Rhinolophus ferrumequinum: one gene and its partners. The protein of the gene in region 3 interacts with the protein of the main gene of each other region in a biochemical or structural test. Links are inferred from orthologs where the notes say so. Each region holds a gene or a part of one and is shown on either strand. Other genes may lie near its edges.

The links.
Region 1: the proteins of PPP2R1A (region 3) and AKT1 form a complex in vitro, tested with the Homo sapiens proteins (2 studies listed by BioGRID and IntAct, with this or other methods). The link is inferred for Rhinolophus ferrumequinum from reciprocal best matches to the Homo sapiens genes PPP2R1A and AKT1.
Region 2: the proteins of PPP2R1A (region 3) and PPP2CB form a complex in vitro, tested with the Homo sapiens proteins (2 studies listed by BioGRID and IntAct). The link is inferred for Rhinolophus ferrumequinum from reciprocal best matches to the Homo sapiens genes PPP2R1A and PPP2CB.

The regions. Positions count from the first base shown.
Region 1 is NC_046289.1:824,198-831,482, forward strand, and holds the start of AKT1 (RAC-alpha serine/threonine-protein kinase), read left to right. Parts: upstream 1-4,199; 5' UTR 4,200-4,277; intron 4,278-6,785; 5' UTR 6,786-6,877; coding exon 6,878-6,923; intron 6,924-7,285. UniProt on the Homo sapiens protein: AKT1 is one of 3 closely related serine/threonine-protein kinases (AKT1, AKT2 and AKT3) called the AKT kinase, and which regulate many processes including metabolism, proliferation, cell survival, growth and angiogenesis.
Region 2 is NC_046287.1:66,956,305-66,964,228, reverse strand, and holds the start of PPP2CB (serine/threonine-protein phosphatase 2A catalytic subunit beta isoform), read right to left. Parts: upstream 3,087-7,924; 5' UTR 2,947-3,086; coding exon 2,845-2,946; intron 1-2,844.
Region 3 is NC_046298.1:46,563,610-46,571,413, reverse strand, and holds the start of PPP2R1A (serine/threonine-protein phosphatase 2A 65 kDa regulatory subunit A alpha isoform), read right to left. Parts: upstream 3,070-7,804; 5' UTR 2,923-3,069; coding exon 2,845-2,922; intron 1-2,844. UniProt on the Homo sapiens protein: The PR65 subunit of protein phosphatase 2A serves as a scaffolding molecule to coordinate the assembly of the catalytic subunit and a variable regulatory B subunit.

The DNA of each region.
Region 1 (7,285 bases), on a different chromosome or scaffold from region 3:
GGGGAGCACTTTCCTGGGGCCATCACCTAAGGCGGCTGCCCTTACACGAGCAGCATTGAGGCTTTGCTAAATACCGCGGGACCACTACTCAGCTCAGCTTCACAACCCCCTTAATTAGATGCTAGAATTATCACACCGCATGGGTGGGGCACTTTAGGTAAGGTGACTGCAGGCAGCAAGTCGCTGAACCAAGGTTCGAATTCTGCAGTCCCCAGAATTGCCAGGGTACTGACCAGCAGCCCCTAAATGGAAGGTGAGCAGGGGAGGAGGAGCCCCAGCCAGGAGCGGGGGTGGAAAGGAGGCCTTAAGTAGGGGTTGGGGAGGTGCTGGAGGAGGGGCTGGGTCACAAAGGATGGGACCCCAGTCGGCCAGGTATCCGTGGGCAGAGGGAACAGGGAGCCCTCCAGCCATTTTCCTTGATGCCCCAGAGGAGGGCGAGCCCTCCGTGAGAACAGAGTCCTGTTCAGCGCTGTGGGCGGGTAGGATGGGGTGGGGGGCTGAGGAGCCCCCAGAGGCCCTGGGGCCACTGCAGTTAGATCTGCTGTCTGTGGGAAGGAGAGGCACATTCTTCCACTAAAAAATTATTCCTTGTTTGTCTGATATTCAAATTTGACTGGACATCCTGCATTTTTATTTCCTAAATCCAGCAACTGCCGCTCGGAACCCTGGACTCTCACTGTACTTGGCCACTGAGACTGCCCTGGCTCCCAAGGCCCATCCATCTGGGGACCCTTGAGGAGGGCCACGCCCCTGCCTCCAGGCCCTCCCCCTGCAGAGGGAACTGAATTCAAATGAGGTCCCTGGGAGCCCAGAGGGTATTGCCCCCCCCTCCATCTGGCGGCTTCAGAGCCCCGCCCTGCCCCCTCCCAACCTTGATAACGACGCTTGATCTCCTTGAACCTTAATATCCTCATCTGCAAAATGAGAAGAATGACTGCAGGGCCTGGCACAGGGAGACCCCAGGCCATTCACTGGCCACTCAGGCCCCTCCCCAGAGAGCCCTCCTCCGGCCGTCCCCATTGCTGTCTGTTCCAGCGGGGCACCCCCAGTGGTCCATCATCACCACCCAGCTAAGCCCCCCCAAGGCCTCGTTTCTCTCTCACAGCCTTCTCCTGCTTCACAGCCCTGCCCGTGTGATGTGACCATACTGTGACACGGGTCCCGCCACCAGTGGGGTTTCAGTAAGTGTCTGAAGGGAGTGCATGGCTCCTGTGAGGACACCCACAAGAGTGCCACTGCTGCCCTGAGTGCCACAGCAGTCGATTCCGACTGCTGCCCGTTGCCCAGCTGTGCCCCCAGGCTTGGCCCCTGAGCCCGCGAAGGCAGGGCTCTGGGTGGCGTGAGGCCCTGGGGTGGGCAGCGTGCCCTGCTTGCCCTGCCTGGCTGGTGGGACAAAGCACTCCTTGGACACCTGACACAAGTTGTGGGGCACAGACAGGGACCAAAGCAGGCGAGGACACTGCGGGCGAGAGCCTGGGGCTGGGCCTGGGAGGCCAGCAAGTTAAGGATGGGCCAGGGAGGAGAAACATCCCTGGGGCAGGGGACCGTGGGAGAGAGGCCCTCTGTGCCTCTCCAGTTACAAGGTCTGAGTTAAGCCCTCCTGCCCTGCCGCACCCCGAGAAGGGACTGTCCTAGGCAGCCCCAAAATGGCACTCTGGAGCTGGCCACCACATGGCCCTTGGGTCCCCTATCTGGCCCAGCAAGGTCTCAGGCACAGGGATGACAGGAGGTGTCGCAGTGGTGCAGGCAGAGCCTCCCTGGATGCAGTCAGCCAGGCGGCCATCTGGCTTGGGAGCTGCCTTGAGGCCCCGCCCTGCAGCTGCTGCCCAGACTAGGCAGCCGGGGGCACTGGCCCAGGAGTCCTGCCCGATGGCCGGCAGCTGCAGAAGGTGACAGGGCTGGAGGCCCCTGTACTCAGGGAGGGATCAGGCAGCTGCCCTCCCTGGGGCCGGTGCAGCAGTTTTTGTTGGAAACATCTGGCCAAGGGGCTCCCCAGCGGTTCCAGCAGTGGCCAGGGCTGGCCAACAGGGCTCGTGCTCTCCTTGCCATTCTGTTTGGGGGGTGGGAGAGGAGTGTTCTTGGGGAGAGGAGCTCCCTCCAGGAGCTTTCCCTCCTGGAGTCCAGTGGAGGAGGGGGCTGGTCCTGCCCACAGGGATACGCCAGTCACAGGGCAGGCTCACACAGAGGCCAAGACAGGACTGGGTGCTGCACAGACAGGGTGGGTGCAGGGCTCGCAGAGGGTCCCGGGTACCCACTGTGCGCCAGAGCTCCGGACGGAGCATGTGGAGAGGCCCCTGGAGACGGGGGCTTTGGACCACCTCAGCGCAGCCTCCTGTTCAAGATGCGGATCAGCAGGCCGGAGAGGAGCCTGGGGAGTCGCCACGTCTTCCATGAGAAGGCACCTTCCTGGTCCCCCAGTCGCCACTCGCTGACACCTCACCATTCTCCTCCCATCTTCTGCCTTCTCCAAAGCATTGCTGAATCCAGGATGGGGTGTGGGTATGGAAACCCCACCTGGGAGAGCAGTATGTCGGTGGGACAGTCCCAGAGGAGGCCCCAGGCACCCATGGGAGGATTTGTGGGGTGAGCGATGGAGAGATGTCAGACATCTGGGGGTACCCTTAGGTCAGGGATCTGGCCCAAGCAGCACAGACGGGCTGGGTCTGTCACTTGGCCCCTGGAGGCAGGGCCCTGCCTGGGGGTACACAGTAAAAACTGAGACAACTGTGCTGGGGTGGGGACACAAGGGCCAAAGGGAGATGTATGGAACTGGGGCCCCTTTCTAAGGAGCGGGTGTCCCCTGAGCAGGGGAGAGAGTCCTTCCCTGAGAAGCATCCTTCTCTCAGTCAGCCTGAGAGGCTGGGACAGAGCCCCAGTTTCCGCTGTAGACGCTGTCCTGGGGGTTCAGCCGGGCTGCACCTGCTTCTGACCCAGATAAAGTGTCTATACACTCAGGCTGAACTCTGACCCTGGATGAAGAACAAAAATGTCCCCCCCCCCAAAAAAAAAGCAAAAACAAACATACCACCCCAGGAAGATAGCTCACAGTGGTCTTCATTTCACAGAAGGATTACTATCAACTTGGAGGCCTCAGGGCTGGGGGGAGGGGCAACTGTAGGAACCTGAGGCTCCCGTGGAGGGCCAGGGCCAGGGAGGGCTCCAGGGTGGAGCACAGTCTGCAGTGTCCTGGGAATCTGTAGGAGGAGGGTGCTAGACTCCCTCTGCCTCTGGTCCCTTAGCTGCCCCCCAGTGGACTGTGGGTGCCCAGGGCCCACTGAGACAACAGGGAGGGGCTTGGGCGGCCTCTGCTGTCAAGACCCTTCTCTTGAGCCTGCACCCAAACCTGCTCCCGCTTTGGGTATGTGCTCCCAGCTCAGAGAGGGCAGTCCAGGCCAGGTGGATGCCCCTCCACTGGTTCCTGTGCCCTCTTTTCCCTCTGTCACCGTGGGAAGAAGTCCCCATCCACTTTGTAGCCGCCACGTGTCAGCATCTTCCTTCTGGGGGAGGGGAAGTTTCTGGAAGCCCCCTGCCAAGGAGGGAGGGCTCAGAACCCCTGTCTCTCCAGGGCCTGGCTTGCCCTCATCAGTCCCCACGTCCCCGATGGCCCAGCCTTCCAGGCCCACCTCCAACCTGCCCTCCCCAGCCTCCTGAACCGGTGGGGCAGGGACCTCTGATTGGGTCTTTCAGGACAATCTTGGCGCCTCTCTCCCTGGACCCAGTAGGGTGCTACCCACTTGGGTCACAGCACATTCTGATATCAAACTAACCTACATCCCATCCCACCCCCATCCCATGGAGACAGAAGCCCTCATTCGTCCCCGTCGCCGCACAGAGAGGCCGAGAAGTGCGGTTCACCGGACAAACCGGGAAACTGAGGCCAGAGAGGGCGTGCCCGGGGACTGGCAGAGCAGTGGGCGCTGGGCGGGCGGGCCCAGCCCCGGCCCCCGCCCTCTGAGCCCGGGTGGGGGCGCAGGGCCGCGGAGGCGGATGTGGGCGGGCGGCCGGGCGGGGCGCGCGGGGCGGGGACGGGGCGGGCCGGCGGCGGCGGCGGGACGGAGCGGCGGCGGCCGGCCCAGCGCGCGCGCAGCAGGCACCGGAGGACGCGATACGCGGCCGCGCACGAGCACCGGGCCCGCGGCGCGAGGCCCGCCGGACAGCGCCCGCCGCCGGCCCGCGCCGCCCCAGCCCGCCCCCGGCCCGGCCCGCGGGGATGCGGAGCGGCGGGCGCCGGAGGCCGCGGCCCGGCTAGGCCCGCGCTCGCCCGGACGCGGCGCCCGGTGAGTCCCGCCCGCCGCCGCCGGGGCCCGGATTTCCTCCCCGCTCCGCCGCTTTGTTCCCGGCCGGCCGGGCCGGGGCGCGGGCGGCGCGGCCGGAATGGAGGCGCGGGAGCAGGAAGTGGCCGAGCGCGGCCTGGGCGGGGAGGGCGCGGGCTACGGGTGCGGGCCGCCGGTCCCGGCCTCCCTCATGACCTTGGAGAAGTGGCCCGCCGGCCGGCGAGGCCCAGGCTGGGGCGGAGGGGCGCGGCCGGGCCCGGACGGGGGCATCTCTGCGTCGGGGGCTCCCCGGGCGCTCCCTGGGCGCCTGGCCAGCGCTGCCCGGAGCACAGGAGGCTAAGGGGCCTTAGGAGAAGGCTCGCCCCAGCCCTCCTTCCAGTTTGTGGGTGGGCTCTTGGAAGGAGACCTCATCTTCCCATAGACAAAAAGTTGTCCCTGGTGGCGAGGGGCCCAGGCCAGTCCACAAAGGACTCCTATCCCTCGTGGGCCCTGAAACTGCTTCCTGACCTGAGTGGGCTGTGGAGGTGCTGCCCACCCATCCTAGAGGCTGGGGTCTGGAGGGCAGCTAGGGCTTGGTCCCCAGATTGGAGGGTGGGGGCAGATGGTGAGCTCAGTGGGTGGGACTGGTTTCAGAGTACTGCCCTGGTGGACAGAGTGGGGGCATGGGCCTGTGATCTCCGGCCACAGGGCCTCCTCCTTCACTCCTGGGCCCCTGGCCTGCCTCCAGGCCACCCCTGACTGCTCTGAGCCCCTGGTGGGAGTGAAGGCCCTGCAGCTTGGTTCCCTGCCCCCCCCCACCCAGCTGAAACATACAGTTTACAAACCAATGTTGGGAGGCAGAAGGAGGGTTTCCTTTCGGAGCACAGACTACTTTTTAAGAAGTTGTGGCTTTGGTAATGACAACAGTCGCGTAGTGTCTGGTGAAGGCACTCAGTACCGGGCAGCAGGACACAGGTCCCCTTGGTCCTGCCAGTCCTGTGCAGAGAGGCAGCCCGGGTGTTGGGCTGTGTGTGTGTGTGTGTGTGTGTGTGTGTGTGTACAGATGTATTTTTACACATGGGCTGTCGACAGCTGTCTGACTCTATCAGCAGCAGGCCCTTCTCAGGCCTGGGTGGGGGTAGGGTAGGGGGACATCCAGAGGCCTCGGAGTCCAGCCCTCTGTCTCCAGGCCACGCCCACTCCGTGTCACCAGAGCCCCCGGTGCCCACTGTGCTGGGGCTCAGAGCCCAATCCTGACACCCTCATATCTTCCCGCTGCTGCCCATGGGCCTGCTGAGCACTTCGGCACTTGCTTTCTTAGGCAAAGTGTGTCATCCCTGTCCTGGCATCACACACAGGCAGTGAGTGGGGTCTAACCACCCTCCTAAATTTAGCCTCAGACCATCAATGCACAGCAACCTTCTCTGGGTGCCCAGCCCCTGCCTCAAGAGGCCGGTGAGGTGATCTGTGGGAGACCATCTTCGTGGCTGTGGGAAGACCCATATTGGGATCCATTCCAGTGGTTCTCAGGGCTCCCTGCCTGGCCCGGGTGTCCCAGACTGGAGTCTCTTAGGGCCTGCCCTCCGATTGCCCATCTGGAGGGTAGCAGAATACTGGGATGCCCAGAACGGGTGATGTGAGCACTGGGTTTTGAGGGATGTGTAGGAGTTTATCCAGCAGGGGAGCCATGGGGAGGGTCATGCAAGATGAATGGCCAAAGTGTCTACTTAAGAGAGGGCCACTGGTGGGCCATTGCGGGCGGGTGCCAGGACCGCTGTGTGTGTACAGCGCCCCCCATTGTTTGCCTCTTGGATGCTCTAATTACAGACCTGTAACCACCCTGGACTGGGTACTCCTTATAGACGGGCCCGTCTGAACCCCTTTGTCACCAGTGCCCAGTGCTGAGCCTGGCAAACCAGAGGTGACTGATCTACACTGGCCAAATGAATGAACCAGATTCAGGCCCGCAGGGGCACCGTGGTTTAGGAGGGGCCGGGGGAGGGGTTCAGGTCACCCTGGCGGGCTCTGCCCATTTACGCCAGCCGCCCTTACTTCTGGTGCTGCCTTCTTCCTGTTTGAATGTCTCTCCCAGTCTGGGGCAGGGAGGAGGAGCCTATGGGTGGGAAGACTGGATGGAGAACAGGGCGCCCTCACCAGGAGCCTGGGGAGGTTGAGTGGTGTGCCCTGAAGCAGTCGGGCTGCCTGCAGGGGGTTGCCTGCCGGGCTGGCTGGTTAGGGAGGCTGGGGTACACTGGGAGGGCCTTTTGGGGATGGAGTGATTTGTACAAAAGCCAGGGGGAGTGGGAATGGGCTAGGTGAGAGGGACAGGGAGCTCTGAGGGCCTTTTATTAGGTGCCGTGGTGGGAAGAAAGTGAGGGGTGGCAGTGACTCAGGGCTGAGGGGAGCAGGCCACACGGGAAGGTGCACCCGGGCTGAGGCCCCAGGTGGGACGACCCTCCTGGGCTCATCACCAGGTCGGAGGAGTGGCCCCTAAGCTAGACACAGCCTCACACTTCCCTTTGCTTCTTCCAGAGGCTGTGGGTGCTGGCTGGGCTCCGGGAGACCCTACTGCGAGAGGAGCGTGAGTGACGCCTGGGCCGCCTCGGCCCGCAGCAGCGCACAGCATGACCGACGTGGCCATCGTGAAAGAGGGCTGGCTGCACAAAAGAGGTCAGTGCCCCTGGGGGCGGGGCCTGGAGCCGGGGCGGCCTGAGCTGGCCCACAGGCTTCCTTCAGGTGGCAGGTGCTTTGGTGGCCTGCTGGATGGGAGGGGCCTCCCTTGGGCTCCCAGACCTGCCCAGGTGAGCCTCCAGGGCCCAGTGTCTCCCACGGTGTGCAGGGCATGGCCTTGTGTGTCCCCTGGGTGGGGACATGAGGCCCGAGGCCTGTAGCCTGTCTGGCTGGCGGTGGAGTGACCGCCTGGCTGGGCCTGGTTGGCAGGGAGAGCTGCTGCTGCCTCCCTCCCCACTTTCCTGGAAGGCAGCAAGGACGCTGGGGCTGGTCCAAGGCCTAGCTCACTGGTGGCCCAGGGC
Region 2 (7,924 bases), on a different chromosome or scaffold from region 3:
CTTAGCCTGGAAAGGTTGAGCAAGTATTAAGTAGACCAAAGGAGGAGTAAAGTTACTTCACACAATTACTACTAATCCCAGTACTCTGTGCTTCAGATAACAGGGATCACAAGAAATACTGAAACTATTTTTCAGGATTCCCTAGCCACTATACAGAAAACCTCTTTTGAAGTACATTCACCAGAGAGAGTCTTAACAACCCATCTATTTATTCTGCATCTTTTTCTAAAAGAAAATGGGGTGACAGATTTAAAACAAGATACAAGAGCTATTTTTTTTTTTTTTGCATTTCTTAGGTCCTTTCTTTTATACCAAATCTAATGTATAATACAACAATGTGTACATACGTTATATAATTTCCCAGCATCTCCCACAGCACGTTCAACACACTGTCACTTATGCAAGAGCCAGAATCAGACACAGATATAAGAACATAATTTGTTAAAAGCTCTTTAAGATTTTAAGCTAATTTAGTCATTTCTAAAATAAAGTATTTGACCCCACATATAAGGGAACTGGATGAACCAAACAAAAACAAACGAATTTCAACAGACAACTTTAAAGCAAAGTCGGTTAAATGGTTATTTTTAGTTTTAGTTTCTCTTCATTTAACATTCATTGAGTGCCCCAGGATTTTACACAGGTAATATCTTAATATTCACAACCAACCCAGGAGATGGGCAAGTATTATCCCTGTCTCACAGGTATGGAATAAGAGGTGCAAAGAGGCAGCAGCTATCAAGTTGTGGAACTCTGGCTGACTACTCCAGTCCCTGATACATAAACACTACACTTGTCAGGAAAAAGGAGGATGGGGCAGAGATATAAAATAGAACCAGAGATTAAGGTTAGCAGGTAAAATATGTATACATACCACAAAGGGATGCCACAGTTGCTGGAAGAGGGCTGAAAAACTAAGCAGTGCTCAGAAGAGTAGAGAGAAATACTATTACTGGACTCCATCCATTGGCAACTCCATCAAAGGGGTGGAGGACAATGATAAAGGGGGATTTTCACTTACAAACTCGTGTTTAGTGCATAAGTACAAATATTCAAAGAAAAAAGTGGGTAAGATCTAAGCTTAAATATACCTACAAGATCCTAGGGACTGGTAGTCCAAGTTATTCAGGAGCTGAAGTAAAAACTAATCTCTCTTGACAAATACAGAAAATTTCCTCACATGATTAAGACTCAAGTGTGATTGAGTAGTGATACAATATTATTCTCTAGGAATACATCTTAAAATTATTAGTCAAACGGAAAACGAATTCAACTCCCACCTTTGTCCATAATTTCAAGACTATATGTAATGTTCACAGTGAGGGTAACTGACTCAGCTAATTTCAAAACTGGGTATTTCACTTGACACTAGAGAGAGAAATATTGAGAGAGAAAGATTTAAAACATAAATTTGAAGACTCATGAAATTATAGGTTATCACACAAGAAAAACGAATATCTTCTTGAAATTATAAGCAAATAGTCTGTTTCAGAAAAGAGAAAAATACCACTTGCCTTGGCAGTTCTACCTACAGAAATAAATTCTGTTACCAAATTTTACATATTAAGGCCCTATACAACATTACACTTGTTAAAAACACTACTTTCACTTAATATTAGTTATTACTCCTCCATCCCTAAGTAAATTGCTTAATTTTGAGTCCCCTATTAACAACACTGACAAAATCTTTTGTTCTCCAATGTGTTTCTGAGGCATCCTGACTTCCAAACAAAATGATCAAGTCTAAAAATACAAACCAACCCAACAGCATTAAAGAAGAAATAATCTCCTTACTCCTTCACTGAGGAATTTTTATGTAAAAATGTGTCAAAATTATTTAGTCCAAGATTATAAAAGACGAGTGAGAAAAGCTCTAGATTTTAAAGTAACTAAGATAGAGAGTGCAAAATAATTCCAGCGGGTAAGGAAACAATAGATACAAAATTCAGAAAGTTGTCTAAGATCACACAATCAAGAATGACTGTAAACAGTTAACCACCTGCATATTTTATTACTCTTTGGCACAGGGAAAAAAAAAAACCCTTTATATATAATAGAAACGGAAAGGATTTTCTGAAAAGTGCTACCCTACACGAAAAACACGTAACCCATTTATATTTCAAGAAAGCACTGTTTCCAAACTTAAGATTTGCTGTCTTTCTGAAAATCAACATTTTGCTTCCAAGAGTCTCTCTATGGGAAGACCAGTCACCATCTGTTACAACTAAAGTCAAAGTCAACCTCTATTTTAGAAATCACAGTCTGCCATCACACCCACCTCTCTACAAATGCTTGACACATTCCAAATTAGCGATTTTTGAAAGGCCCATTCACCTGCGAAAAAAGCTCCCATTTATAACAAGTTCGTTAACATTAGCAACATCCAGGTTGGTTTTCGGTGCATTTTAAAAAAATTTTTATAAGATTTTATTGGAGCCAAACTGACAACATTGCCAAGAAGAAAGATCTCAGATGCTCCCGATGCATTTTCTGATAAGAGATGGTATTAGAATAACTGGCCGGCGTGTGGACTAGCAAGCGCCGAGATTGCTAGTCCACACGGGAAATACTGGAGTGTAACTCCCCAGAAGAATGTCAGTGACTCCCAAAAACACAGAAAGTGGATTCCAGGTGCCACGTTTCTCCTGCCCGTCTACAAGGACCCGAGGCCAGTAACGTGAGCATCCGCCGGGGAGGCAGAGGTACCCGGAGAGGCCAGCTCAACGCCCCGGATTTTGGACGGGCTGGGCCCCGCGGGTCACAGAGTGGACGGCCCGGGGAGGAGAGGGGCCGCCGCCCGCTCCAATCAGCCCCCCGCTCCCGCATTTCTCTTTTCTCTCTTACCTTTTCGCAGAGCGTCCGCACTTGGTTCTCGTTCAGCTGTTTACACTCGTTCAGCTGCTCGACCCACTGGTCCAGCTCCTTGGTGAATGCCTTGTCGTCCATGGCTGCCGGATCCCCGGCCCCGCCGCTGCCCTCCCCCCTCCCCGCCCCACCCTCGCCCGCCCCGGGCGCCGCTCCCCTCTCCCGCCGCCGCCGCCGCCAGCTCCCAGCGGGAGAAGGAGCCGGGGAGCGCGGCCGCCGGCCCCGCGCCCCGCCCAAGCCCAGCGGGCGGCTCCGGGAGCGCGGCCTCCAGGAGACCCCCGGCCGCTCTTGCCCGCCCGGCCGCGCGCCCCGGGTGTCGCTGGGAGGCGCGGGGAGGTGTGGGGGAGCGCGGCGCGGGTCTTCGGTGCAGCTCCCTCCTGACGATGGCCACCCGCCGCCGCCTCTCCCCGGCAGGCCTCTCCCGGCTCTCTGGCCCTTTCTGTCCCCTCGCTCTCTCTGTCCCCTCCCTCCGGGTTTCCGTCATCGCCTGGGCATTTCCGCCGAGAGAAAGGCGAGCAGGCAAAGGACCCGAGGAAGGCTGCTGCGCCCCCGCGTGGCTCGGCGGAGAAACGGTCCGAAAGAGCCAAAGATTCCACCGCTTTCTCCCTCTTCTTTTCTTTGTTCTTCCTCACTTCGGGTGCAGACCCAGCTCGCCTGGTTCTTTCTTCACATCGTTTTCTCTGGGAACCTTGTCCCCACCTTGGTCTCCTGCAGTGCTTTTTCAGCGCTCTGCAAAGGGATTGGGGAAGCTTGTGCCTTTCCTCAACAACACTGTCTCCCCAGAGTCTAGCACTCTCCCAACAGGCATTCAATATTTATTGAGTAAGTGAATGCTTTCTAGCCTTGTCTCTGCCATTAACTAGGTGTGGGGCCCTAACATCTCGAATCTACCCTTTCAGCATCAGAAAGATGAGATGATCGTTGTGTATTATATTTATCTGTGTCCCTTCCAGCTCCAGTATTATACACTGCGTTTGCCGCAGTGTTTATGCAATGTTCTAATAATTTGTTCATTCGCCAAGTATTTATCGAGCGACTGCTAACTGCCAGTTCCCTGGAAGAGCATATTTCCTCTTGTTGCCGCTGAACCCAAGAGGGAGGCAACATCCAGTATCAGAAGGCAAAGGTTTCAATCTTGGTTTTGCCAACTGTGTAGCTGTGTTCTTTCTTGGACAACCACCAAATCTCCCCAAGCCTCCAAGTCCTCATCTGTTAAAAGGGCTCAGTAAGGCCTACTTTTTCAGTTTGTGAAGATTAAATTTTTACAAGTGCCTATCCAATAGTACAGTATTTGAGCAATCTAATAGTTGCTTATCCCTTCTAGGCAACAGTTAGAAAAAACTTTAGAAAGGTGGATTTGAACTGAATTTTGAAACTTCTCCCTAGGCAAAACCTTGAAGTTGCCTGGAGTAGAAGACGTTCTAAGGAATTTGTTTTGTGGCAGAGGACAAATGTGTGAAAGACCACACACGTGTGGAAAGTTATAAATATGCCCATCCATAGAAATAGGTCATAGAGTGGGAAATAAGGCTGGAAGAGCTCCTGCTCTTAAGTGCCTTGTATATAGTAGCAAACCAACTAAGGACAAAAGATGAAAAGGTGATGAAATGCTACTGCAGAGAAAGGGTACCTGTATGATTGTGAGAGAAATTGCAGTCTCTGAAGAGGTTCGTCTATAAAGAACTAAAGGAGGCTGGATTTCAGCTAAGCCTGGAAAGCTCAGAATGAACATGAGTGGTATTTTCTGAGTATCTCATTTAGTCCCTTTATTACAACCCTATGAAGTAGGTGCTTTTATTATTGTTTCAATTAACCAAATGAGGATAGTGAGGTAGAGAAGATAAGTGACTGGCCCAAGGTCACTCAGACGGAGCTGGAAAATGAAGCCAGGTAGCCAGAGCCTATGCTCTTGAACCTCTCTGCTATATTGTCATCAGTCCTGTCAATAATTTTGTTTAATGCTGTTTAAAAAGGCTCGGCCCCCAGATTCCATGACTATGTTATGTATTTTATATACATATATAAGAGGAATATATAATTTACTGTAATTTTCTACTAAAATCGTGCAATACTTTTTTTGGTGATTTTTCTTATTGTGGTAAAACATAAAATTTACTATTTTATCCACTTTCAAACATGCAATTCAAGGCATCAGAGACATTCACAATGTTGAACAACTCTCATAACTATGCTTTCCAGAACTTTTTCATAATCCTAAACTCTGTGCCAATTAAGCAATAATTGTCATTCCCCTAATATACATGTACTTTCATATATTATCATAAACCTCAGAAAAGCCCTTACCCTGACACCCTAAAGAAACATTTGGTGCTTACTCTAATATTCTTGAGTTATCTAGATTATTGATTTAATTCTAATTTTCACTTTCCCATATTATACCATAGTCCATGGATTCTAAGATACCATTTTTTTCCCCTTCAGTTTAACATCTCTGAAATTGAGTCTCATCTTACAATTAATGACATCTTATATTTAATCAAATCCCCTGAAAATGAGGGTTCATAGCTGTGTTCAAGTTACTTTAATTTGGTTTCTCTCTTCCCTTCATTTCAGTGTGCGGTGATAGTATTCATTTAAGAGTTAAATTTGTTTCTGCTTGCATATAGTTTGTTACTCCCATCCTTATTAATTTAATTTTCTTGGTATGTAGAACATTATCCAAGCTTCCAACAGTAAAATTTATCCAAAAAGGTGAATGCAGGAAAATGTCATTCTTTCACTTATTCCTTTCTCCCTGTTCTCTACTCTTTGTAGGTAACCAGCTTCATTGTTTTGTTTTATTCCTGAGTTATTTTATGCAAAAACATGCATATATATTTCCCCTTCTTTCTCATGTAAAAGGTAACATATTCTAGGTCTTCTTTTGTACTCTGCTTTTCTCAGTGAAATATTTCACAGAAAACACTCATTGGTTCATAGGAATTGTCCTCATCTGTTTACAACTACATAGTCCTCCACTGGTGTACGTAACGTAGTTTACTCAGTTATAGCTAAGTGGGCCCTTAGGTAATTACCAGGACTTTGCAATTACAAATAATACATTTATATTTTTATATTATTGAAGATTTATTATCAGGATAAATTCCTGGAAGTAGGGTTACTGGGTCAGAGAGTAAAAGCGTATATGGTTTCAATAGACATTGTACAACTTAACATTCCCACAAGCAATGTATGAGAGTGTCTGTTTCCCCACAACTTCTCCAACATGGTACATGGTCAGCTTTTAAAATTGTGCCCATCTGATAGGTGAGAAATGATATCTCAGTGTATTTTTAATTTCATTTCTAGCTTGTTTTTTTTTTTTCCTTTTTCTCCAAAACCATATTACTCTGCCTGGCTTACTTGTGAATAGTCCCCTAGGTCTGTAGCAGGGATGCAACTTAATACATCTTTTGACAATTGAGCTTAAGACATTTAGAGTCTTGGTTAGCACTATATCTAGCTTATTGTCATCGTAACACTTTTTATAAAGTTAAATTTTAAGTTGCGATAGTTACATGATAATTTTTAAAATGCATGGATATAATTTATATCCTTTCATAGTTTGGTATGCAAATTAACTCCCCCCTTTTTTGGATCTCAGACACACTGGTATAATCAATCCTCTTATTCAAAGGCACATTATCAAGATGTCTGTGCAAAAATCCTTGTTTTCCCCCTTCATCCTTAATATACTATCTCATCTCTCTGGAAAAGCATCCTCCAATGTATTGGGCATATATCCTAAATTATCCATGTAAAATATATAGTATTGTGTTTCATGTGCATATATATTGGTATTGTGCTATACATTTCATTGGTTCTAACTTTTCACTAAATGGTGATCATTACGATGTTTAGTGTTTGGCTTCTAAGTAGTTCTGTTACCGATTCAAGTTTTGTGCGCCCGACACTTCACAGTCCAATAGTCATAAACGTCAGGGTTTGGAATAAGGAAAAGTTTATTGATCGAGAAGGCATTAGCTAGAAAATATGGGGACCTTAACACTTTTGCAAATCTATCTTAAAAGCATCCCAAATTCAAGGGGAGGAGGGTGGGGCAAGAGGTGGGTGAGGACTGTAGACAAGTATGCACCAACAGGGATCCAAGGAAGAGCTTGAAATCTCTAAATCTCTGTTCCCAGTAGATCCACTGACCCGTGCTGATCTGAATTTGGTCGTGAGGCTCTTGTAAATCTTTGATAAGCAGTCATTGATTGTTTTGTACATATTTCCCCACCTCTTCAGAAAGGATGGAGAGGCTCCACAGTGACAGATTATCTTACTGATGCTAGACCATAAAATTCCAGACTAGTTGATTAAGATTGCATTTCTGGAAGAGGTCAAAACTGCAATTAGATCAGGTATTAAATCTAAGTTTGGTATCATGAGGTTTTAGCATGAGTGACACCATTTTGGGCCTGTGGTTTTTTTCTTTAACACTCTGATATATAGTATTTCACTGTACGCATCTACTATATTTATTTCTCTAATGATATTATCCACCTGATTTTTTTGCTGTTCTGATGAGTGTAAAGTGGTATCTCATAATTTGCATTTCCCCTTTACAAGTTTGAACATCTCATTATACATTTGTTGACCATTTGGGCTTCCTTTTCTGTGATTTGACTATTCAAATCACAGGATGCTCAATATTCTTGTTTGTTGATTTCCAGGAGTATGTTCTATACCGTGTTTCCCCAAAAATAAGACCTAGGCAGACAATCAGCTCTAATGTATCTTTTGGAGCAAAAATTAATATAAGATGCAGTATTATATATTATATTATATATTATATTATATAAGACCCAGTCTTATAGTAAAATAATACCGGGTCTTATATTAATTTTTTTCCAAAAAACGCATTAGAGCTGATTGTCCAGCGAGGTCTTATTTTTGAGGAAATGTGAAGTGTTAATCCCAGTTTTATTTGTGGCATATAACTTCTCTCAGTCTGTCATTTCCCTGTGGAGTTCTTTGAATGAAACTTTGTCAAATCCATTTTATTTTTCTTTTTGAGCTTTTTGGGTCTTAAATCATTCTCTACTCCTAGGTCTAC
Region 3 (7,804 bases):
TTACACATGTTCTCTATTGTATTCTTGTAACAAACTCACGAGGCAGATACCACCTTTGCGTTCATTTACAGATGGGGAAACAAAAGCAGAGAAGGGAATGAAGGCCACCTAGTGAATTCGTGACAGAGCCTAGAACTTGAACCCATGTTCTTCACCACCATCCTATCAACTTTTTTTTGGTTAAATTCTCAGAGAGCAACCTTATTTCTAAGTTTTGCTTCAGCAAGTCCCCAACTACTTTATGAAAAGGAGTTGGAGACTGTGACATCATGTTTCTAAGATGTAGACAGGGGCATGAAGTTGCAAGGTCTTAGGCAGTGGCTAGTAACTGTGTGTCTTTACGTAATTTATATCTCACTTAGTCCTCACAACAACCTGGACAGGTTTGTCTTCCATCCTTATTTTTATTTAACAAGAAAATCAAGGCCCAGAGGGTTGAGTAACTCTTAAAGTGGTCAGGCCAGGATTCGAAACCCTGGTTTGCCTCCACTCACCGCACTGCTTCTTATGTCACCTCTAGGCCTAGACTTTCCTTTGAGGACGGAGGAAGAGGCCACAAGCCAAGAAATACTGGTAGCCTCTGGAAGCTGGGAAAAGCAGGGAAGCAGGTTCTCCCCTGGAGCCTCCAGAAAGGAACATAGGTAGCCCTGCAGACACCTTAATTTTAGCCCATTGAGTCCCATGTCAGACTTCTGACTCTCAGAACTGTAAGATAATAAATCAGTATTCTTTTAAGCCACTAAATTTGCCTCAAGAGTTCCCCACAAGGGTTTCTCTCAATCTCACGGACATTTTGAGCAGACAAATCTTTGTTATGTGGGCTGTTCTGGGCATTGCAGGAGGTTTAACAGCTTTCCTAGCTTCTATCCACTAGATGCCAGTAACATTTCCCCAGTTGGGACAAGCAAAAACATCTCCAGACATTACCAAATGTCTCCTGATGGGCAAAATCACCATGGGTTGAGAACTGCCATTACCTGTCTGCTCTCTCTTCCTGGAGGGCTCTTCACCACCTTCCTGGAGCTGGCTCCTTCTTCTGGTCTCACCTTAAACTCTGTGTCCTCAGAGGGAGCCCTCTCTGATTGGCCTACTTAAAACGATCTTTCCCACCCCACTTCCTGCCTGCTGTGTACTCTGCCCAGACAGCCTCCTGGCTTCTTCCCTTGTGGCCTTCAGATCTTTGCTCAAACATCACCTCTCAGCAAGGCCTTCCTGGACCACTCTTTACAATTGCACCCCCCACCCCTCTTCATTTTTCTCTTTAGCACTTATCCTCATGGAACATACAACACATTTTACTCATTGTCTTGTTTATTATGTTTCCCCTCACTAGAGCATAAGCTCCACAAGGCCAGGAGTTTTGTGTCTTGTTCCGCTGTGTAACTGTGCCTAGAGCAGGGCCCTGCACAGAGCAGAAGCTCCAAAAATAGTTACTGACTCATTATCACAATATCCTGCCATTTCCTTCCCATCACATCTAACACGCGTTAATGTAGTCACCTGTCTCACATCTGTCTCTTGTAGGAGACATCTGTCTAGTATAAAAACTGGTGTCATCATTATATCCACAGCACCATACCTGCTATGTGGCAGGTGTTCACTGAACAGATGAGTCCGTACAACAGTCCTATGAACTAGATAATGACCTCCGTTTAAAACAAAAAGGAAACCAAGTCTTGGTGACCTTAACTAAGTGGCTCATGTCAATCAGCAAGCGGAAGAGCCAGCTGCACAACCGCAGCCTGTCTGATTCCAGAACCAGAGTGATATACCCAGACCCTCAGAGGCTGGGCCCCGGGCAAACCGGCTCAATTTTATAAAGAAGGAAATTGAGGCCCAAAGGGAGATGGGACCTCTCCAGTCACCACTCCCAAAAATTACAGCTAAGATTTATTGGGCTATTACAACACGCTAGACATGGTTCTCTTTTACTTGTATTATTAACTCGTTCAGTTCCTCCAACACCCAGCAGAGAGGCCGGAACTATTATTAGCCCACATTTTATGGAAAACAGAGGCCCAGAGCAGTGAAGTAATTTGCACAAGGTTACGCGGCGGGTGGGAAGTGGAGCTGGGGTGGGCAAACCGCAGAGTCCTAACTCTTCTCAATCCCTTGCCAGCCGGGCTCAGGGCCCTGGGCCTCCCCATCCCACTCACCAGAAATGTGTCAGCCCGTCTAGTAAACTGCCCACCCCCCAGACAATGAGAGGATCCCAGAAGCGGGGCGGGTTTCCACCTCTTAATTCACTCCTAAATTTAACGAATTCCCTCTTGGGGTGGGGTGTTTTCGCCCTCGATCCCCTTTGTCGGGGCTACACCAAATTTGGAGGGGGACGGCGGGCAGGAATTGGAAAGGAAACCTTCGCCTCTCAGTCCCCATCTGGGGTTTACCCCACAGCGCTGAGGCCCAGCCGCCGAAACCCAAAAAGGAAGAATCCTACCTGGGTCCCAATAAACCAGGTGGCCCCTCCCCCACTCGGAGCTACTCACGCGCCCTCCCCATCCCAAAGGGGCCCTTCAGGGGTCACCGCCAATCACCGAATCCCCGGTCTCCCTAACCCAGCCCGCCGGCCCCCTCGCGGACCGCGGCCTCCCAGACCCTGGGCCGCCGCGCGCACTTTGCAGGCCCGGGATCCTCGGCCTCGCTCCCGCCCTCTGGAGGGCCGACACCCAATCCCGGGCGCCGTATCACCGAGTCTGGGGACCCAGGGAGATGAGAGGTGGACGCTGATTGGCTGCCGCCCTCTTCCGCCACTCCCAGCGAACTGCGACTTTACTCCGCGAGGGCCGCTCGTGCCCCCAGGTCCCCCTTCCCGTTTCCCCAAGTCCCCCGTGGCCTCCGAACCTGAACATCCTCGTTGCGGAGCTCGTCTATGAGCACCGCGATGGGGTAAAGGGAATCGTCGCCGTCGGCCGCCGCCATCTTGGCTGCGTCCCGTTCCTGTCAGACTGCGGTTAGCACGGTGCTGACTCGGGGCTAGGGAGGGGCAGGTCCGAGAGGAGGAGGGAAGGCGAGCGTGGGGGCGACCGAGCCACTCTACAGGGGTTGCCCCACCGTCATTGGCCGCCCTACTCCCGGCCAGACCCGTGTTTCTTTGGTCCGAACAAATGAAGTCCCGCCTATTGCCCATTTGCCATTGGTGGAAGGGCCTGTCGGAGCCAAGGACGACGGAGGAAGGTAACGGAAGTACGTGGTATCTTAGCGACCAAGATTGTACCCGCCTACGTCGCCACTAACAACGGCCCAGACGAGCAGTTGTTTGTAGCCAATGAGGGACAGGATTGGACGAGGTGAAGCCTGCCCTTCTGAGAGTCCTGGAGAAAGTTTCTGCGCGTGCGTCGTAAGGAATGCATAACGTCTTGGGACCGAGGCAGTCTGCAGGTTTTCGCTTGTGAGATACCGGCCAGGTTGGCTGGAAGGCGGAATCCGTGCCATTGTGCTGGAGAAGGAGGGTGTGAGTCTTTGATTTATGCCTTATTATGCCGACGCCCCCGAAAAGGGTGGCGACTTGCCTTGATGTCTGGATTAAAAACTAAACCCTTGAGGCTGGTCTTCAAGACCCTGCGCGTCTCATTTTTGAGCCCTCCATCTCCCATCTCCCCTTGTTACATTTGCACCGACCTGGAAAATTAGAGCCGCCTGAGCACATCATACTTTTTCATTCCAACAAGACTTCGCCGAAACTGTACCTCCTACTTGGAGAGCTTTTCCTTTTCAATTGTCAGATCTTTACATCAATGTCTCTCCTTCCCTGCCTCTTCAGGCTTGGCCCTCAAGCCCCCAGATAGCCTCTGCACAGAAACAGGCTTAATCAGGAGGTTGATTCTGGCCAGACTTTCAAGAACAGGGCCTTACCATGGACGTCGAAATGATAACCCAGACGATTAGTTCAGCACTGCAATTAGTTTCAACACTTCACAGCCACCAGAGAGGGTCGTCTTTAATCTGCCAGTCTATAGTTTTCCTAGTGGCACCCTAAACAGCTAGACCACTGGCAGGAGTCCGGATATCTGAGATCTGACCAGTGAAGGGAACAACCACATCTGATTTCACTTCTGCACACCTGACACTGAAACTAAACAGCCACGGTGGCCCCAGGAGACACCATTAGGTGTCAGTTTAAACCACCAGTGAACCCAAGTCCTGCATTTAGGGGAATTGCAGAGGATTAGGGTTCCTGCTACTAGTGGCTTTGGCTGCAGTGTGGAGATTAAATGTTCCTCCAAGGTGACAGGTACCACCTATTCTTGCAAAAAAACATACATGTCACTGGGGCCAGCCTTGCTTCATTTTTGAATTTTCACTTTACGTGACACGCAGGACTTTTTAGACCCTACTTCTCTTGTGGGTAGTGAAGTCCAAGTTAACTCATTCCAAAATTGGAATATCAAGCCTGTTAAAAAGGAGAGAGCAGGGCCAAAATGGAGTCACCTGCACTAAACCCCACGTCACCAAACCAAGACTTAATAACTAATAGCAGCTTCAGCCTCTCGGAATGTAACCTTTGACCAATCAACCTGGAATTACCTGGTCAGCACTAGTGAGGTAAAATTCGTCACCTTCCATTCCACTGAGAAGGGTGGCCTTGCCTGAAACAATGCATTTTTTACTAATAGTTTCCTTTTTTCCGCCGGCTCTCTCCCTTTGAAAATCTTTGCTTTTCTGTAGCACTTTGGAGCACCTTTCTACTTGCTAGATGGGATGCTGCCCAACTCATGGACCGTTGAATAATGCCAGTTTGATCTTTAAATTTACTCGGTTGAAATTTTGTTAATGAAAAATCAAGAGAATTGCAAGATTTCTAAGAGTCACACTTCAGTTTTACGGAGAGCTCACTAATTACCACTTTCAAATGAATGTACATGTTAGTTGTCAGGATGGTCCACAAGTCATACAAGATGGGCTTCTAGGTGGAGGCTGCCTCTTTTTGACAGAGGCACTAAATGACAAAATCATCCATCACAGACACCCGTGCCGTCTTCCATATTCTACAAATCTTGTGAGGGCTAGGCTTTCTTTAGATGTTGGGGAACCAGAGTGACAGTAGTTGATTCTTCACTGCTGGAAGGACTGCGCATGGTGCATCTGCACACAGAATCCCAACGAACTGTCACCGGAAATCAGGACACTGAATTAGGTTCCTTCAGCCACCCTCACTGGCAGAGAGCTGATGGCACCGCAGACAGGGCTATGGAGACTGAGGACACTAACTAAGAGAAAGTCATTCATATAATGAAAACTCTATAACACAAGTGAGTGGACTTGATCTAAAACCTCATCTACCCTCTGGGGACAAATAAAATTAGAGTTAGATCCACTAACTCTTCTCCACCTGACCTTACCTGACTAGGAAAGTCCCCTCTGGCACTGGGATGAGGAAGCAAAGTATAACACACATAGTACCTACTATATTCTGATGTAGACACAACAAGAGGATGTTGAGTTTCTCCTAGGGGTACTGCTACAGTCTGTGTGTGTCCCCTGAAAATTCTTATGTGGAAACCTAATCCCTAAGGTCTAGTGGTATTAGGAAATGGAGCCTGTGGGAGGTGATAAGGTCATTGGCCAGATCTTTCATGGATGGGATTTGTGCCCTTGAAAAAGAACTCCCTTAGCCCCTCGGCCTTGTTAAGATACAAGGAGGGCCAGCCTGGTGGCTCAAGTGGTTGGAGTGCCATGCTCCTAATGCCAAAGTCACCAGTTCGATTTCCATGTGGGCCAGTGAGCTGCGCCCACTACAGCTAAGATTGTGAACAACGGCTCTCCCTGGAGCTGGGCCGCTGTGAGCTGCCGGAGGCCTGTGTGAGTGGCCGGCAGCCAGCGTGAGCGGCTGACTGATGACTGGTGACTGACGACCAGTGACCAACTGCATCAGCCAGGGGGAGTGCAAGGCTCATAACACCAGCATGGGCCAGGGAGCTGTGTCCTACACAACTAGACTGAGAAACAACGGCTTGAACTGGAGTGGGGGGCGGGGAGGGGGGTGGAAGAAGGGGAAAAAAAAAGATACAAGGAGAAGTCTGCCACCCAGGAGAGGGCCCTCACCAGAAAATGCTGCCCACCAACCTCAGATTCTAGCCTCCAGAAGTGAGAGATAGAAATTGTTGTTTATCAGCCACTCAGCCTGTGGAATTGTGTTACAGTAGCCCAAGCACACTGAGATAGGCCCCAGCTACCTCACCATGTCAGCTTCCCTCTGCTAAAGGGAGACGTACAAAGGCTATTCACATAGGCTTCTCACCATCCATCCTCATCACTGAGACTATCAGAAATGTAAAGAGGGTTAAGATTTTAGGCCTTTTGCAAACCACCGAGTTAGCCTGCCAATTTCAGGGATGCTGGATAAAACACAAGATGCCTGGAACTGAGACAAAAGACATTATTATTCACGACAGAACAGGCAGTAGGAGCTTCGTGTTCCCGTGTGTCCTCACTGCCCCACAAGCCCCCTGGGGCCGTGCAAAGTGGTCCAGGTGGATGCTGTACACTTAGTAGTTTTGTGTCGCACCTGGAGAACATTAAGCCTAAGAAACCCCAATCTTTTACCTGTGTTATACGTGAATCTGCCCAATGTTTGCCTCAAAAACATGCATTATCTTTATTACACTGGCCAGGAAATTCATCAGCCCTTTATCCAAGACAGATACTATTACATCTCCCAAGTCTGTTATACAAAAATCCATGCTAATCCAAAACAGAAGTTGACACAAGAGGTGAAAGAATTTGAGATGCTCACTAAGAAGTATTTTCCAATAGTGTGAACCTTTCCCCTAAAAATTTGGGAACAATTGATTGAAAAAAATACAGTTAATATTTTTTATACCAACAGTGACCTCAATTTTGTGGTGCTTGAGCATTGTTACATAATGAAGGAGACAGGAAGGACACATATTCACTGGGAGATTTCACAGGAAGGACAGATTACAGAGGGAGGTGATTGTAACCTGCATAAGCCATGAGAGGTGAGAACAAATGAAAAGAGAGAAAGTATGTCGGTTCCGAATAATCCATTGAAATTTGTTAGCTTATCAGAAAAAAAAATAATTCTCTATTCACACATACAACCAATAAATTCTGAATGGATTTCCAATCTGAGTTTTAAACCTATATATTTTTTAAATAACAGAAGAGAACATCTCTATAGTCTTACAATAGTACAATAATTCTTAAACAGAATTATAAGTATTGTGTATAAAGGAGGAAATACCAAGTTATATTAAACTGAAATCTTTCTTCTCCTGAAAAGACACACACACACACACACACACACACACACACAATGTGGGTGAATGAATCATATCAGCAGATATAGGAAACTATTACAAATCAATAAGAAAGACAATACAATAAGAGAAATAGACAAAATAAAGTAACACACATTGAAAAATGGTCTCCAGTGTCTAATTGAAATGTTTAAAGATGCTCAACTTTCATAATAATCATGGAAATCTAAATAAAACCAGTACTTGGTACTATCAAACACAACCAGAAGCCTAAAAATTAAAATAAAATTAATAGTATTGACAAGGATGTGGCCTAATTAAGAATCTCCAACACTGCTGGTGCATGTCGTAATTGGCACAGATGTTTTCCAAACTCCTTTGACACTATTTCATAGAGCTGAAGCCTAACAATGCTAGTATCACATGATCACCAACACAAATGTGTAGGTGTGTCATTGACACATATCATATATTTACATATCACGACTATTCCTAACAGTCCAAAACTGAAAACCACCCATGTGCCAGTGAATACAGAAATGATTAAAAAAATGTTTTATGGAGATCTACCTAGATGACAG